2 linked regions of the Macaca fascicularis genome follow. The protein of the gene in region 1 purifies or fractionates together with the protein of each later gene. This does not show direct contact. Links are inferred from orthologs where the notes say so. Each region holds a gene or a part of one and is shown on either strand. Other genes may lie near its edges.

What was found. Proteins that work in one complex are often made in the same cells at the same time.
Region 2: the proteins of CSK (region 1) and TNS3 purify together in Homo sapiens (affinity purification with mass spectrometry; 4 studies listed by BioGRID and IntAct, with this or other methods). This does not show direct contact. The link is inferred for Macaca fascicularis from reciprocal best matches to the Homo sapiens genes CSK and TNS3.

Annotation. Positions count from the first base shown.
Region 1 is NC_088381.1:51,900,869-51,908,597, reverse strand, and holds the start of CSK (tyrosine-protein kinase CSK), read right to left. Parts: upstream 5,294-7,729; 5' UTR 4,853-5,293; intron 4,718-4,852; exon of another isoform or gene 4,097-4,717; intron 1-4,096. UniProt on the Homo sapiens protein: Non-receptor tyrosine-protein kinase that plays an important role in the regulation of cell growth, differentiation, migration and immune response.
Region 2 is NC_088377.1:82,956,014-82,963,689, forward strand, and holds the start of TNS3 (tensin-3), read left to right. Parts: upstream 1-3,062; 5' UTR 3,063-3,319; coding exon 3,320-3,397; intron 3,398-3,643; exon of another isoform or gene 3,644-3,862; coding exon of another isoform or gene 3,863-3,922; intron 3,923-7,676. UniProt on the Homo sapiens protein: May act as a protein phosphatase and/or a lipid phosphatase. Involved in the dissociation of the integrin-tensin-actin complex. EGF activates TNS4 and down-regulates TNS3 which results in capping the tail of ITGB1.

The sequences.
Region 1 (7,729 bases):
CTGAATGGGCCACCTGGGGGAGGACCCCTTCCCTAGGTTAGTCCTGGGCCACCCTAGGGTCATCTGGGGCTACAGTCTCTTAGGCCCAGGGTTGCCAAGCAGAGACCAGTGTCCTGCTACTGCCCACAGGGTGGCTGTAGGAGGGCACTCCCAGTTACTCTGGTCTCCATAAAAGCACAACAAGAGGAAGCAGGTGTGTCACAGTGAAACACACTCAGGTTAGACCTGGGGAACACCTGCTGAGAAGGGGAAGGCTAATACATGAGTTTCCTAATGTGTCCAACTCCCTCCTGGGAAGCTCTGGGAGGCTCCAGAATCCCCCTACCCTCAATCTCCCAGCCTGCTTCCCTTCCTTGGCTACTGGGACAGGGTGGGAAGATGAGGCTGGCATGGCTGTTCTCGGGCTGGGGTTCAGGATGCCTAGGTTCCTTGTCTAAGTCTCAGGCTAAGCAGGCCTCTATTTCCTCTGGGAAAATGCCAAACTGGGCTGACCTAGCCAGAGCTGGGAGGCGGGAGGCAGCCAGGCTCTTAAGAGGCCTTGTCGGCCGGGCGCAGTGGCTCACACCTGTAATCCTGGTACTTTGGGAGGCCGAGGTGGGCAGATCGCCTGAGGTCCAGAGTTCGAGACCAGCCTGACACGGAGAAACCCCGTCTCTACTAAAAACACAAAATTAGCCAGGCGTGATGGCACATGCCTGTAATCCCAACTTGGAAGGCTGAGGCAGGAGAATCACTTAAACCCGGGAGCCGGAGGTTGTGGTGAGCCAAGATCATGCCATCGCACTCTAGACTGGGCAACAAGAGCAAAACTCCATCTCACCAAAAAAAAGAAAAAAAAAAAGAGAGAGAAGATGCCTTGTCTATTCAGCTCTGATGCTGGGAGACTGGAAGGGGAAAGGGTGGAGTCAGGTCCTGGACCCTCACCAGCAGCCCATCTTCCCAGGGCCAGCCCCATGCTGTAGGCCAGGCAATCACATGGTAATGGGGAGAGGGGAGGGCAGGGAAGGGCACTGGCCATAGTATTCTAGAACCTCAGGGCCAGGGGGTTTCAGAGGGGCTCCCCAGGCAGAGACCACCTCTTTGCCAGGTGAGTGGTCAGCCAACGTTGGCTCGTGGCTCAGGCACCTTCCCCACAGGTTGAGGCAGCCAGCAGTGGACACTCCTTCAACAATGCCAGTCCTACTCATAGAGGGAGTGGAGGAAGGCCTGTGCCAGGCACTTTAGAGCCCCTTGGTTAGTTAGTTGACACTGTCCTTACACCTTCCTCTAAAGTAGGTGTCACCATCCTGTTATTTATATAAAGGCAGCTCAGCAGGTCAGTGACCTGTCTAAGGTCCCTCCACCCTGGGTCTAAGTGGCATGTCTGAGCCTGGAACCCATATTCAGTTGAGTGCCAAGTTGCCTGTGCCCTCCAACACCCTGGCTGCTTTTGGGACTCACAGTAATGACAACCACAACAGCAACAGAGGGGAAAGATGCACACGCTCCAGTGTATGGGTAATGGCGCTGCAGCAGGCCAGCCTGGAATATTCTGTAGCTTTTTAGAAGCAGTATTACTTAGACCATGTAGCACCATGAGAAAATGCCCACAGACGCAGTATTAAATGAAAAAAGGTGTCACGGTACACACACTCCAGTGACAACGGCGACGAAGGAAAAAGACAGGGAAAAGACCAGCAGGGAACTCCAAAATGCTAACACAGTCACTGCCTGCTGAAGAAATAGTGGGTGATTTTTGTTTCGTTTTCTAAATTTCCTGTAGCGCTGTTTTGTTATTTTCTAAATCAAGAAAATGAGTACATTCGGTTTCCCTAGAACGAGCTCAGATTCACTTCCCTGGGACCCGCCTGCTCCCTAAAGCTGGCCCAGGTGTCTGGGACAACTTCTGCCACGGGATGCCTTTCTCATTTGGGACAGTCCCTCAGACATAGGAGAATCTGTCTCTACTTTCTCTTTCCCAGACTCAATCAACATCCTTGGTTCTTTGAAGACGACTTGTCAAGGTTTTAAAATCCTTCAAAAGATGGAGCCCAGAACTGCACCCAGACAGGTCTGCCCCCTTTGGGGGGAGCAGCCACATCACACTGTGGATCATGGGCCTCAACCCCTACCTATATTTGTTTGGAGGAAGCTGCATTCTGTCCCCAAACTTTCCAACCCTTGCCATGGGCCACTCTGTGTGGCTCAGCCTTTTGGGGTCTGGCCCCCCTGCAGTGGTAAATGGGAATATTTTCTGGTCTTTCCTTGCCCCGACCCAATGCAGAGAGAAGAGCAGCCGCTTCTGAGAGGGAGGAGGGCACCAAGCTCACTCCCTCTCAGAATGAACGAAAAGCACATCCCCGCACACGTGCTAGCCAGAAGCCAGACTCCTTTCTTCAAAGGCCCTGGACCCTGGGTCGCACCCTCACAGCTCACAGTTGGTAAAAATTAAAATAAAATAAAAATTAAAAAGGCTGGCTTGGGGTGGGAGGGAGCCAACCATGTCAGGCTCCAGCCCGAAGTCCCTCAGGCTGGAAAGGAAGTTAGGGCTGGTGTGGGGCCATGTGAGGGGAGTCTCACAGGCCCAGGACATCTGGGTCCCCTCCACTGTGCATGTCAGGACAGCCAGAAAAAAACTGAAAAAACAAAAAAACCTAAATTGTGAGCAGGGACCCAGCAGGACAAAACTGCCAGCAGCTCCAAGGGAGCCCAGACACCACTCAACACCCTCCAGGGCACTGCCTGCTCTCCTGGGCCAGAGGATCCTGCCAGGCCCCGACTTCACCCCTGCTGCCCTTGCCCTGTTCCTGCTGTGGCTACAACCAAGAAAGACATTGGAACGGCCAGGGTACTAGGAGCTTGAAATAGGCCCCCTGGGTGTCCCCACTCTGTAGCCTGCTGCCAGTGGAGACAGGGCTTCCACGATTCCCATCTGACCCCATTTATATTCTGAACTTGGCTGCTCCTGTGCCAGCTGGGCCATAGGTGTGGGGAGCGCTGGGTCAGGACTGACCACCAGGTTGTTTCAACTCAGAGCCGGGGCCAGGAGCCGGCCTTCCTGCCACACCACACAGATGGCCCCACACCACACATTCCCCACATCTCCTGCTAGCTGACCCAGCCACAGCTGGGGCCGGAAGCCCTTTCACTCCCTCCAGCCCTCTGCAGGGAAGCACGTGCTCAACCAACAGCCCCTCCGGGGCCAGGCTGGGGGGCCTGTATACCCAGTGGGTGAAGGTGCCTGCCTGGTTTCCTTCCACCCACAGCCATCCAGCCCTGCAGAGCTGGGGATGAAAGGATAGCCAGCCTAACTCCACTAGGGGCCTGGGGTAGCAACTTCTCCCTTTGAGCCTCGGTTCGCGGGTGTACAAAATGGGCGGGGAAGTGAACTGGTAGTTAAGCTCCAAAAATCTGCTGGCTGGACACACCCCTTCCTGACACCTGGTCTGGACCACAAAAAGCCTAGGAGAATGGGTGCCCCAGGGTGCCAGAAGGTGGGGGCATGGTGCTAACGCTCAGTCACCTCCACCCAGGCGGAAGGCCTGCCCAGTTTCCCACCCAAAGGTCAGAGGTCCCTTGGCTTACGCCTGGTCTTCTGAGAGGCCAAGGGTGACAGACTCAATCCCAGGACCTGGGCTTCTAACTGCTCACCCGAGGTGGCTGGGCCCTGGGCTTGCTTGCAGCCCGCAGGGTCACGGTGGGATAATGAGGGAGGGATCAGAACCAAGCAAGTCAGGGCACCTGCAGGGAGGTCCTGGACAGGGAACGGCAGGGGAGTCCAGCACTCTCTCTAGGGACCTGGCCCATACGGATCCTCTTCCTCCAGACTCCAGCCACCTCCTACTCTGAGCTCCACAGAGCGGGGACTCGAGATGACCCGAGAAGACAAGTCCGTGGAGCTTAAGGGCAGTACGTCCCTCGTGCACTCCCTTCCCATTTGGGTTCTGACAGTGGCTCCTGGGAGAATTCGAACCCTTGCAAGGGAGTAAAGGAGAGAGGGGAGAGGGGGGAGAAGGGGGGAATGGGAGTGGACGCGACAGTGGCAGCAACAGAGACCAGACGCGCGACCTCCACCCTCTTCCCTCCAGGGGACACTCCGGGACGGCCGGGCACTCACCTCTCTTGGGGCACTGCGGTCCAGGCCACCCCGCCGCGGGCGGCATCAGCGGCCTGCGGGACGGTCCATGAGGTCAGGGGGGAGGGGAGGGGCACAGGGGTCCCCAGGGGGTACGGTACAAAGAGGTATGAGTGCGAGGCGAGGGGAGGAGGGACCGCCAGGCAGAGGCAGGGGGACGGCCGCAGGGCCCGGGTAGCGGAGGGAAGAAAGGCGGGGGAAGGGGGCGGGAGGGAGTCGGGGGGAGGAAACAATGTAGCCGGCGCGGACCCGGCAGAGTTCCGCTTCCGAGAGCCGCCACTGAGGTTCGATTTTGGAACGTCGCGCTGGCTGCCGGGGGCCGCCCCGGACGCTCGATCCCGGCCGCGAGGCTCCTCGCGCTCCACGCCCCGCGAGCTCCGGCGGCCAGAGACTGGCTGGGGCGGGAGGGACGGCGGGCCGGGGTATGGCCCCGACGGCGGCGCAGGAACCCGCCCCGGCAGGATCCCCCGGGCAAGGCGCGGGTGGGGCAGGAGCGGGAGGGCAGCAGCGGGCTCGGCGGCGGCGGCCAACCTCGGCTTGCCCGGGGCTCCGCTGGGAGGAAGCTCGCAGGCCTGGCGAGAGGAAGCGCGGCCCGGATCCTCCGCCCGCGGCAGCGCGCCTGCGCGAGGGGGCCTGCCCGGCGCGCGGCGGGGCGTGGGCCGGCAGGGCGGCGCCCCCTGCCGGGCGCCGGGGGCACTGCGGGGGGTGTGTCCGCGCCCACGCCCTGCCCCCACTTGCCTGCCTGGCTACGTTGAAGGCTCCAGGGTCTCCCCCACAGCGCACACCAGCCGGCCTGGGAGCAACCTCCCAGCCTTCTCTGGACGCAGCTCTCCCGCTGCCAAAATGCTGGGGGCCGGGCCTGGGCCCCTCTCCTCAGGTCTGTTTGTGGAGAGTGGGCCTGACTCCCGGCAGAAAGCCTTCATTCATTCATTCACCAACATTTCCTGGCGCTGACATCGTGGCGGAGCCTGCTCTGGAGTCTATTGGCAAGATCATTTCACTACCGTCAAGGCGTTCTCGGTCGGGTGGGGGTAGACTGACAGGCCAACAGACAATCGCAAGGAAATAATTGATCAAAGTGGAGAGGTGGCGGACACGGTTCCCAGGAGGCAGAAGGAAAGCGAGGGCTAACGGGGAGACCTCACAGAGCTGGGACTGGGCAGAGGGAACTGCACGCACAAGGGCGGGGAGTGCGGAGGGAGCTTGGTGGCTTCTGGGATCTAAAAATAGCTCAGGCGGCTGCCGCTTGCAGTGTGGGTGGGGGAGAGTGGTGGGAGATGGGTTCCTGCAAACAACAGGGGCAAAAAAGATCTAAAGAGCCTCATGGGACTTTCTTGGAGTTTATGTTCAGCCTGGAGGCAATAAAGAAGTTGTCAGCAGCTCCGTGACCTTGGGCAAGTTACTCAACCTCTCTGTGCTTAATTTCCCCGTTTGGTAAAATAGGTGATATATAATGGCACCGACTTCTTAAGTTTTTGTGGGGAGGGGAGGAAATTAGTTAATACATTTAAAGTGCTTAGTGTGCAGTAGCTGGCACGTGAGGAGCCCTCCGTTAAGCAAGGGCTGTTATATCATTGTTAAAAAGAAGCAGGGAGATGACCTGCTCTGAGCCACAGGAGAGGACAGCGTGCTCAGGCATGACGCAGGTGGGAGAGTGCAGGGTGGCGGGGGAACAGAATGGGGGTACAGTGGTGAGGGCGAGACTGGGGAACAGAATGGGCATACAGTGATGAGGAGGAGACCAGAGACTCCAGCGTAGGGAGGAGGTGAAGGTGGGGGACTTTCTAGGGACTAGACCCTGAAGCAAGGGTCAGGCTTATGTGGACAGAGGGAAGAGGCACTCTTGGGGTTGGTGGGGAGGAAGTGGGGCATGCTGACAAAGTCTTGTAACACAAAATAAGCATGAAGAGGCCCAAGGGAGCGAGAAGAGGGCAAAGAGCCCTGTGGGAGACAGAGCTGGGAGACAGTATGGCTGCAGTTGTTTTAAAGAGCCTTGGATGCCAGGAGCAGGAGCTGCCCCCAAAACCACAGGTTGGCCCTCTGACCCAGGGCACCCTTAGGCCGGTTTCCCAGCTGAAGCCAGCCCTTTGGGGAGGGATGTCCTTTGAGGAGACAGTCATGAATTTCAGCGATAGGTGTGGTGTGATAGAAAAAAGATGAATTTGGGGTTGAAGTCTCCAAATTAAATTTCAACCCGTTCACTTACTAGCTGTGTGACTTAGGGCTGGTTACCTAAGGTCTCTGAGCTGTTTCCTCTTTTGTAAGATCAGACTCAAAATACTCTTCTCTCATGATAGATAGTGCAGATTCAGCAAGATAACGGCCGGGGGTGAGGGAGTGGAAAGGGTGCTCAGCAGAGCTGGTTTCCCTTTCTTTCTTCTGAGGTCAAGATGGAATGATAATATGGGGTGGGATGGGGGGGCCGCCTCTCAGCCTAAAAGAAAGCTCTTCAGCAGCTCTGCAAAGGCTTCTGGGAGGAATAAATTGACATCTCCTCTCCTCTGGCTGAATCAGCTAGCAGAATGGGAAAGAAAGGACTAGGGATTTGGGGAAAATACTCTAATCCCTGTTCCAGTTTTGTCACCAACCTTTCTTTATCCCCAAATACACTTGACTTTTTCCCCTGGGTGTGCTGTGGCCCAGCTGTGAACTTTGGAGTCAAATAGACCTGCATTTGAATCCTGGCTCCACCTCTTCTCAGCAGAGTGAAATAAATTTTTTAATCTTCCTGTACTCCAGGCACTGGGGATAAAACCATAAACAAATCGATAAACGGCCCCACTCCCACAGACCTGTCCTCTGGTGGAAGAGCCAATTAACTTCTAACATCATCATTCATTCATTCACTCATTCGTTCTCTCAACTAATGCGTATTGAGCACCTACTAAGTGCTAGGTGTGAAGTGCTAATTAGGGAAAGGGAGTCAGGTCAGTGGGAGCAAGGGAAAGCAAAAAGAGAAATTCGATAAGCTATGAGTGTGCCTTTCTTCATGTCCAGGACATAGCTCTCTTCATGTCCATTGCAGAGAGCTCTCCTGTGCAAGCAATTCACAATCTTCCTGTGCCCAACTATCACCAGTCTCCTGCAGGTTAGCTCACTGCACCCTCGGCGTCGATACTGCACAAAAACCTTCTCAACAGATAGCATAACACTATTCTATAAAATCTCCAACAACCTTTTGTTTCCTGGCAGTCAGCTTCTCTTCTACCTTCTTGCAATGTATTTTCCTACTTTTTCTAATAAATCTGCCTTTATCTACAACTGTCTTGGCAAGTTTTTTGTTTTGTTTTGTTTTGTTTTGAGACGGAGTCTTGTTCTGTTGCCCAGGCTGGAGTGCAGTGGCATGATCTCGGCTCACCGCAACCTCCCGCTCTAGCATCCAACCATTCTGTCTTAGCCTCCCACATAGCTGGGACTGTAGGTATGTGCCACCATGCTCAGCTAATTTTTTATTTTTAGTAGAGATGGTTTTCACCATGTTGGCCAGGCTGGTCTCAAACTCCTGACCTCAAATAATCTACCCGCCCTGGCCTCCCGAAGTGCTGGGATTACAGGCGGTAGCCACGACGCCTGGCCTCGGTAAATTCTTTTACCTCCGCACCACCGGTCACCCGC
Region 2 (7,676 bases), on another chromosome or scaffold:
TGAATGCATGATCGTGTGTGGGAATGGACGCATAGGAGCAGCCTCCAGTTTCCAATGACAAAACAGGGGCATGAGTGGCCCCTCAGCTCTCTCCCACGGAACCTTGTACTTGGTGTTAAAGTCTGACTCATGGAAGGGCTCATGTCCCCAGTTCCAGCTGGGTTTCCAATCCAGGTTGAGATGTAGCCTCTCTTCCTGATGCCTGGTTTGCTGATGTCTGCCTTAGCTGTCTGGAATCCATCCTCCCAGGGAAGAACCTCGTTTTGTTCCTGGGAACAACCTCGTTTTGTTCCTGGGAACCAGGTGCAGTCAGAAGCTAGGGTGAGACAACCCGGCCAGTAAAAAGCACAGAGGACTGTGGCAAAGCATGAAGAAAATCGGAAGCTGGGTAGCAGCATAGAGCTCACTATGGCCTTAAGATGGAGTGAGGCCAGTCTGCCACCCAAGTTTTGAGGTGAGGGTCTGTGCCTGGAGGAGTTGGCCCCCACCTGCCCTGGCTTCTGAGTCCCTTTGCATCCCCAGACCCTCAGCTACAGCTTACTTCTGGGAGGACTCAGAAGGGTGTGGTCTGAGACAGGCAGTGAACACCAGTGTTGATGCGGTAGAAATACAGCAAAGCAGAATGTTTTCATTCCTGCACCAGTGTTTATTGCTCCTGCTTGGTGCTGTGTGTGGAAAATCCCAGACAAGGTTAGGACTTCCTATTGGAGGCACAAGACTTATGACCACACTAGAGGGTCAGGGCCCCAACCATCCTTGGGTGGCTCAGCCATGGAGGATGATTAACCAGTCTGGGAGGTCAGATGGGAGGCGGATCTTCAACTGAGCCCAGGACAGCGGTTTTCAGCCAGAAAAGAGAATGGGAGAAGCCCCAGGTGAGCCCAAGGGTGCAAAGCAGAAGGACCCTGGAGGGTAAGAGCCTAGATTGCAAGCCTGGCAGGAGGAGGTCAGAGGGGGGCAGGGAGAGGGGCTGGAGAGGTGGCCTGCTGGAGAATTTGGATTGGCCTTAGGATTGAGCAGTTTCTTGCCAGTGAAAAATCAGTTTGTTGTCCTCACTCGGGAGGTTTATCACATGCATGTTATTTGTTACTAGTAATGAAGTATGGGAGTTTTCTGAATGGCTACCCTTTTAAATAAGAGCAGATTCAGGGTATCCCTGTAATAAAAAGCCACCTTCAACTATTTGCCTTCCACTCTGGCTTGCATGGGCAGTGGGCTGGCCTGTGCTCCTGACCATTGTTCCTGGGTGGACCCCAGAGAGTGTGAATCCTGGTACTCAGGTTGGAGGAGTTTTATCCTGCTGGGAGCTATCTGTTCATTGCTGAATTCAGATTTCTTCGGCCGGTTCCCGTGGGCACCGTGGTAAGGGCGGTGGTAGATCCAGCTGACCTCTGGGCGTGTTTGTCTTGGGTAAACCACGACAGCAGCATGTCCTGTTCTTAGCTGTTTGTAGACACTTCTGTGTACCTGGTATTGTGTCAGATGTGAAGGAATCTGGAATGAATATGATACAGATGTGTTCTCAGGGAAAGACATTTGAAAAAACTAAAGTTTGGATACGCTATAGGAAAAAAATGATGAATGAATACAGGAAAATGAAGGAAGGAATGAATATAGAAAAAGGTGAGTAATGATGTCATTTGAAGGACAGGGGGAAATGAGAATGCCTGCTTGTCTGCCAGGTGATGATTTAGTGAGGAATTGGAACCCAGAATGGTGTGTTCTAGGAGGAGGTTTTTTCCTTTGTAGTTGAAAGTTGAAGAGCAGCTTTGCTCTTCTACTGCAGAAACGGAAAGATGGATATTTAGTGCCAGAACTTGAGAGGTTAACGTCGGCCAGTTGAATTGATGGCTGGAATTTGCACATATGTCAGCCATAAAGGCCACGACTTAGCCCACCCATACTGCTCCCCACATCCAAGGCATGTGGAGTTGCACGTGGAGTTGTAGATCCGAAGTTGGAGTGTTGGAGCCACAAAGGCTGAGCTCTGGGACACTACCCCTAGGCTGGGCCTGGAGTGAAGGCCGGTAGTAGGAGTACAGGGTTAGCTGGCCTGAGGCTAGAAGGCCCCCTATCCTACTCTGAGGCAGGGATCTCTTCCCCTGCCCCCCACAGACCACAGGCAGTGGCTTCATCTTGAACATGATCTTTTATTTTCAGTCTTGCCACAAAGCTTCTTGTAGACAGCCAAGATCCACTGCCCCGGGAAGGCTGGTGAAGTCCGACAGGCGTTGAAAGGAGGGATCTGCCTGTGGATCTTGCCCACCTCTCCTCCTGCGTTTCTAAGTGACCCTTCCTTCAGGATCCTGGCTTGTCCATCTTCTTCCATCACCCTGTCATCTTCACCTCCTGAACCTCGGGTTTCTAATTTCCTTCTAAAATCGCAGACCCATAAAGGAAGACGGGACTCGAGATCTGCTGTGAATTTTCCTGATTTGCCAGGAGCAGGACGGCGGGGGGGTTGGGAGGGGCGGTGCGGGGGAGGGATGGGCTGGGAGATAGGGAGGGGGGCAGGGAGGTGCAGCCCAGCCCCCAGGTGTGCAAGGCCCCGGGCGGTCCTGTGCTTTGAGCTTTGCTTGAAATCCTCACCTGGTTAGGCGTGTCCTTTGCAAGGCCAGGCTCCTAGTTTTTCCTAGTTGAAAAGGCAAATTAGAAAAAAAGCCTTTCTGCCTCGGTGTTTCCCTGTTTTCCACTCCAAATGCCCTGTTTGCCAGTGTAGATTACCAGGGTAGTGCAGATTACTGCTCATTACAGATGCAGAGTTGACTGGATAATAGTTAAGATTTAGAAATTCCGAAAGTCGAAGAGCGTGCCCGGTTTTGATTCTTTTAAGCCCCTCGCCAGCGTTCTCGGAGAGGTTTGAAATCCTAGTAAAGCTGAACCCTGCACCAAGCTCCGCGCGTCCGTAATTCCAGTCAGATGGCGGCTGCAATACCCTGCTCCCTCCGCCTGGAAGGCGTTTCTTCACCCACTTTTCCAGTGTTTGGCGGCTCAGCCTGTGCCTCCGCGCTCGCTCGGAGCTGCGGTTGGGGCGGGCGGGGGAGGGAGGGCTAATTCGTGTCAGATGGAGGGACGCCGTGCGGGACCGTGCTCTCGCGCCTGCCTTTTGTTCCCGGCGTCTGACTTCTGACGGACAGGAGTGGCCGTGGAGGCGGCGGCGCGCGGCTGGGACCTGGAGAGCCCTTCGCTCCTCCCGTGTTGGCCATTTGCTGGGACTTGTGTCCGCAGGGAACTCGGGAGGCATCCTCTGCCCCGACCGCCACTGGGGAGGGGTCCTCGCCTGGCCGGGTCGGGCTCCCCGCGGGCGGCAGGGGCGGCCATGCGGCTGCGCGCCCTGACCCCCGGGCCACCGGGAGGGTTCGCGCGCGGAACCCGGGCGCGCCGGCGCCGGCGCCAGGTGAGTGCGGCCCGGAGCTGGGGTGCGGGGCCGGGGGCGCGAGGCACGGGCGCCTTCAGGGCTGCACGCACGTGGGCTGCGCCGGGTGTGCGCTGGTGCCCGTGGACGCTGTGCCGGTGTGTACCCGCCTGTGCTCATGTGTATGCGTGTGCCCTTGTCAGTGCGCGTATGTCGGTGTGTGTTTGTGCACCCCCGTCTGCACGTCCACGCGTGCGTGCTTGTGAGCGCGCGTCTGTGTGTACAGGCATGTGTACGCTGGTCCGTGCCAGAGTCCTGGTGGGTGCGTGTGTACCCTTGTGGGTACGTGTGTACCCTTGTGTGTGTGCGCGCAGGACAAGGAGCGAGAGGGCCAGTGGAGCTTTGCCTAGTGGGAGCGGCTTCTGGTAAGCATGGAAGAGGGTCCAGGCTTAGCTCTTTCCAACCCAACAGCCTCTTGAAAAGGCTTCTTGGTTTCCTTTCCCTGCAATGGAATTGGGATTCTGGCCATTACGCAGACCTGCTGTCTCTCGCGTGTTTCTTGCAAAGGTAAAGGGCATTTTAGCTCTTCAATAATGTGGGGGATGCGCTGGGATGTAGGAATCCTTACAGGTTCCCTGTGGACCGCATGGTTCCAGCGGCGCTCTGCGGTCCACAGGACGGCCCTTCACGGTGTTTGAATTAAACAGACCCGTCCTGGTTGGCTCCCGCTAGGTTCAGCGCCCTTTCCCTAAGTCTAACAATCAGGAATTTATTGCATTTGTTTTTCTGAAACTTTTGTAAGGCTCTGTGGAGTGAAAAACTGTTAAAATTTCAGCTAGTTACTTGAGGTGTACTGCGTTCCCTCTTAAAGTTTAGTGGTCAAACGCTGCTGCCTGGAAGTGTGGGAACAATATGTGCTGGATGTGGAGGGTGTCCCTCTTGCCCCAGATACTGGCTCCCTGTGGGCTGGGAAATATCCCCGAGGCCCGGAAGTGTTCCTGGCTGTTTAATATCAGAGTAAAGTTGGGCTGGGAATGTGTTTTTCATCAGTGCCTGCCTCTCTAGAATGCCTCTGAAGGTTTCCCAGGTGCCTGAATGCCCACCTAAATCCTTTTACTACGGTGGAGCTGAATATTTCCTGAAAGGAAAACATAGCAGGGATTGTGCTGATGCAGCTTTGCACTTTTGCGTGTGTAACCATTTTGCCAGGCGACCTTTAGCCGGGAGAACCTATCCGAGAGGTCCCTGCGGTTTTGCATTTCGGCAGAGTGGAGCATTCATGTGGAGCACCTCCCTGTTCAATTTTGCAGAGATTTTTCTTTCTGAAAAGAGACCTCACAATCAAGACCAGCACTAATTACTGTGTCCCCCTCAGGGAGTCCTTGTGGAACCAGCAGCCTGCTTTCTACCCTTCCAACATTTTGTTCCTAACAATTAAGTGCAATTTAGATTCCTGAACTGAGCCTGCTAAATACTTCAGCATTGCTGCCTCCTCTCCCCCTTTGGGAGAAATGAAAGCACAGTATCAGGTGAAAACAAGGGCAGTCTAATCCCGTCTGGTCTCATTTCACAATAGAGATGTTATGTACAGATGAAGCGTGAGCAGATGTTATTACACTATCTTAAATGAACTCCTCAGGGATCCAGCAATTCAAATGGCTGAGCCCTCGCAGCAGCGCTTCTGCTGTTTCCCTCTTTAAGTTTTCTAGCTGTGGACCAGTGGGCAAGAAAGCTGCAGAAAACAGTGCCTCTTTCTCCCTGGTTGGAATAAAGGTGTTTGTAAGGAATAAAAGGTCACAGTATCTTTCCTTGGCCCACAGACTGTGGCTAATTCATTTGGTCAACAAATATTAATTGAGGGTCCATGGTCCACTGTCTGCCAGGCGCTGGGCAGGGCCCTAAGAGGACAAAGGGGAAAGAGCCTGGTGTCCTGCATCTAGGAAATTGCAATCTAGCACAGGAGAGAAGGCGTATACACAAATAACTGCAGTATGAGTGAAAAGTATGTACCAGCTGCTGCATTGCAATAGAGAGATGTGTTTGTTAAGTGTTTGAATGCTACTCTTGTCTGAGCGTGAGACTGGGGCTTGAGGCATATGGGGCCCGAGTCCCATATGCCACATCCATTGCCTGTGTGGTGCTGCATCTTGGTTTTGCATCTCACCATCGCGGTTTGTAGACTAGTGGTGATTACGGTAATGACACAGAAGCACTTGGCTAGTGTTACCAACTGCATAATTAGCAGCATCATTATCCTTCTTTTGCAGAGCATTGAACACACAACCTCTGTTATCAGAAAGGATGCAATCTCTTTGAAAAAACCAGATACCGACATAGTAACAACTGCATAATAACAGTGCCTTAAATGTATGTAGATACTTATAGAATAGTCTGTCATATACAGTGGTGGTTCTGTCTTGGCCACAAATTGGAATCACGGGATGGAGTTGGGGTTGGGGGGGGTTTGACAGCATTCCAGTGTTCTGATTCAACCTCCAGGTAATCTGATTTAATTGGTCTGGGGTGGAGACTGGGTCAGCTGTTTTAAAAACTGCCCCAGTGATTCCTATGAACTGATAGATGGTATAGCATTTGGTCATTTATAATAGCTGTTCAGAGACAGGAGGGGAGGATATCTTTTCTATTTAAGAGAGGTTGTGACTTGTCCTGGGCCACGGAGCCTGTAGTGTAGGTATCAGAACCTATGTGAAGGTTTCTGCTTTTCAGGTTCAGGACACTGTCCTTTACTTTCCTTTTTTTTTTTTTTTTTTTTTTTTTGAGACAGAGTCTCACTCTGTCAACCCAGGCTGGAATGCAATGGCATAATCTCAGCTCACTGCAGTCCCCGCCTCCCCGGTTCAAGCGATTCTCCTGCCTCAGCCTCCCAAGTAGCTGGGATTACAGGTGCCTGTCACCACGTCTGGCTAATTTTTGTATTTTTAGTAGAGACGGGATTTTGCCGTGTTGGCCAGATTGGTCTTAAACTCCTGAGCTCAGGTGATCCATCCGCCCGCCTCGGCCTCCCAAAGTGCTAGGATTACAGGCATGAGCCACCACACCCGGCCATGAAGTTTTTAATTAGGTGATTGTATTAGTCCATTTTCATGCTGCTAATGAAGACATACCCGAGACTGGGCAATTTATACAGGAAAAAGGGCTTAATGGACTCAGTTCCACGTGCTGGGAAGGCCTCACAATCATTTTGGAAGGTGAAAGGCACATCTCACATGGCAGCAGGCAAAGAGAGAGAGCTTGTGCGGAGAAACTCCCCCTTATAAAACCATCAGATCTCATGAGAATTATTCATTATCAGGAGAACACCACAGGAAAGACCTGCCCCCATGATTCAGTTACCTCCCACTGGGTCCCTCCCACACCACATGGGAATTCAAGATGAGATTTGGGTGGGGACATAGTTAAACCATATCAGTGATTACATGTTTAGGATTGTTAACGTGTTCTTGATGAATCAATCCTTTTATTATTATGAGAGGACTTTCTATATCCTTGGTAATGTTCTTTGATCTGTAGCCTATTTTGTCTAATATAGCCACTCCAACTTCCCTTTGATTAAAGTCAGCAAGGGTACCTCTCTTTTCTAGCCTTGGTCTTAAAAAAAAAAAATGCCCTGGTGTGGGGGCTCACGCCTGTAATCCCAGCACTTTGGGAGGCTGAGGTAGGCGGATCATGAGGTCAGGAGTTTGAGACCAGCCTCACCAACATGGTGAAACCCTGTCTCTACTAAAAATACAAGAATTAGCTGGGCATGGTGGCAGGCACCTGTAATCCCAGCTACTTGGGAGGCTGAGGCGGAGAACTGCTTGAACCTGGGAGGCAGAGGTTGCAGTGAGCCGAGATTGAGCCACTGCACTCCAGCGTGGGCAACAGAGTAAGACTCTGTCTCAAAAAAAAAAAAAAAAAAAAGTGTGTGTATATATATATATATAATCTGACAACTTTTGTTGACTTAAAATTGAGATATTTAGACTATTTACATAAATATGATTACTAATATGGTAATGTTTGAATCTGTCATCCTGCTACTTGTTTTCTGTTTCTCCTACCTATTATTTGTTCTGCTTTTCTTTTATGTCCTTTTGCCATTTGGATTGAATACTTTTTATTATTTCATTTTATCTCTCTTGTTTGCTTATTACCTATAATTCATGATTTTAGTGGTTGCTCTAGGGTTTATACTATACCTCTGTAACATCATAGGCTACCTTCAAGTGATACTATATCCACTTCATGAATACCACGAGAGCCTTATAATAGTGTTATGGGATCTTTGGGGTGTCCATTTTCTGGCTGGAAACCTCTG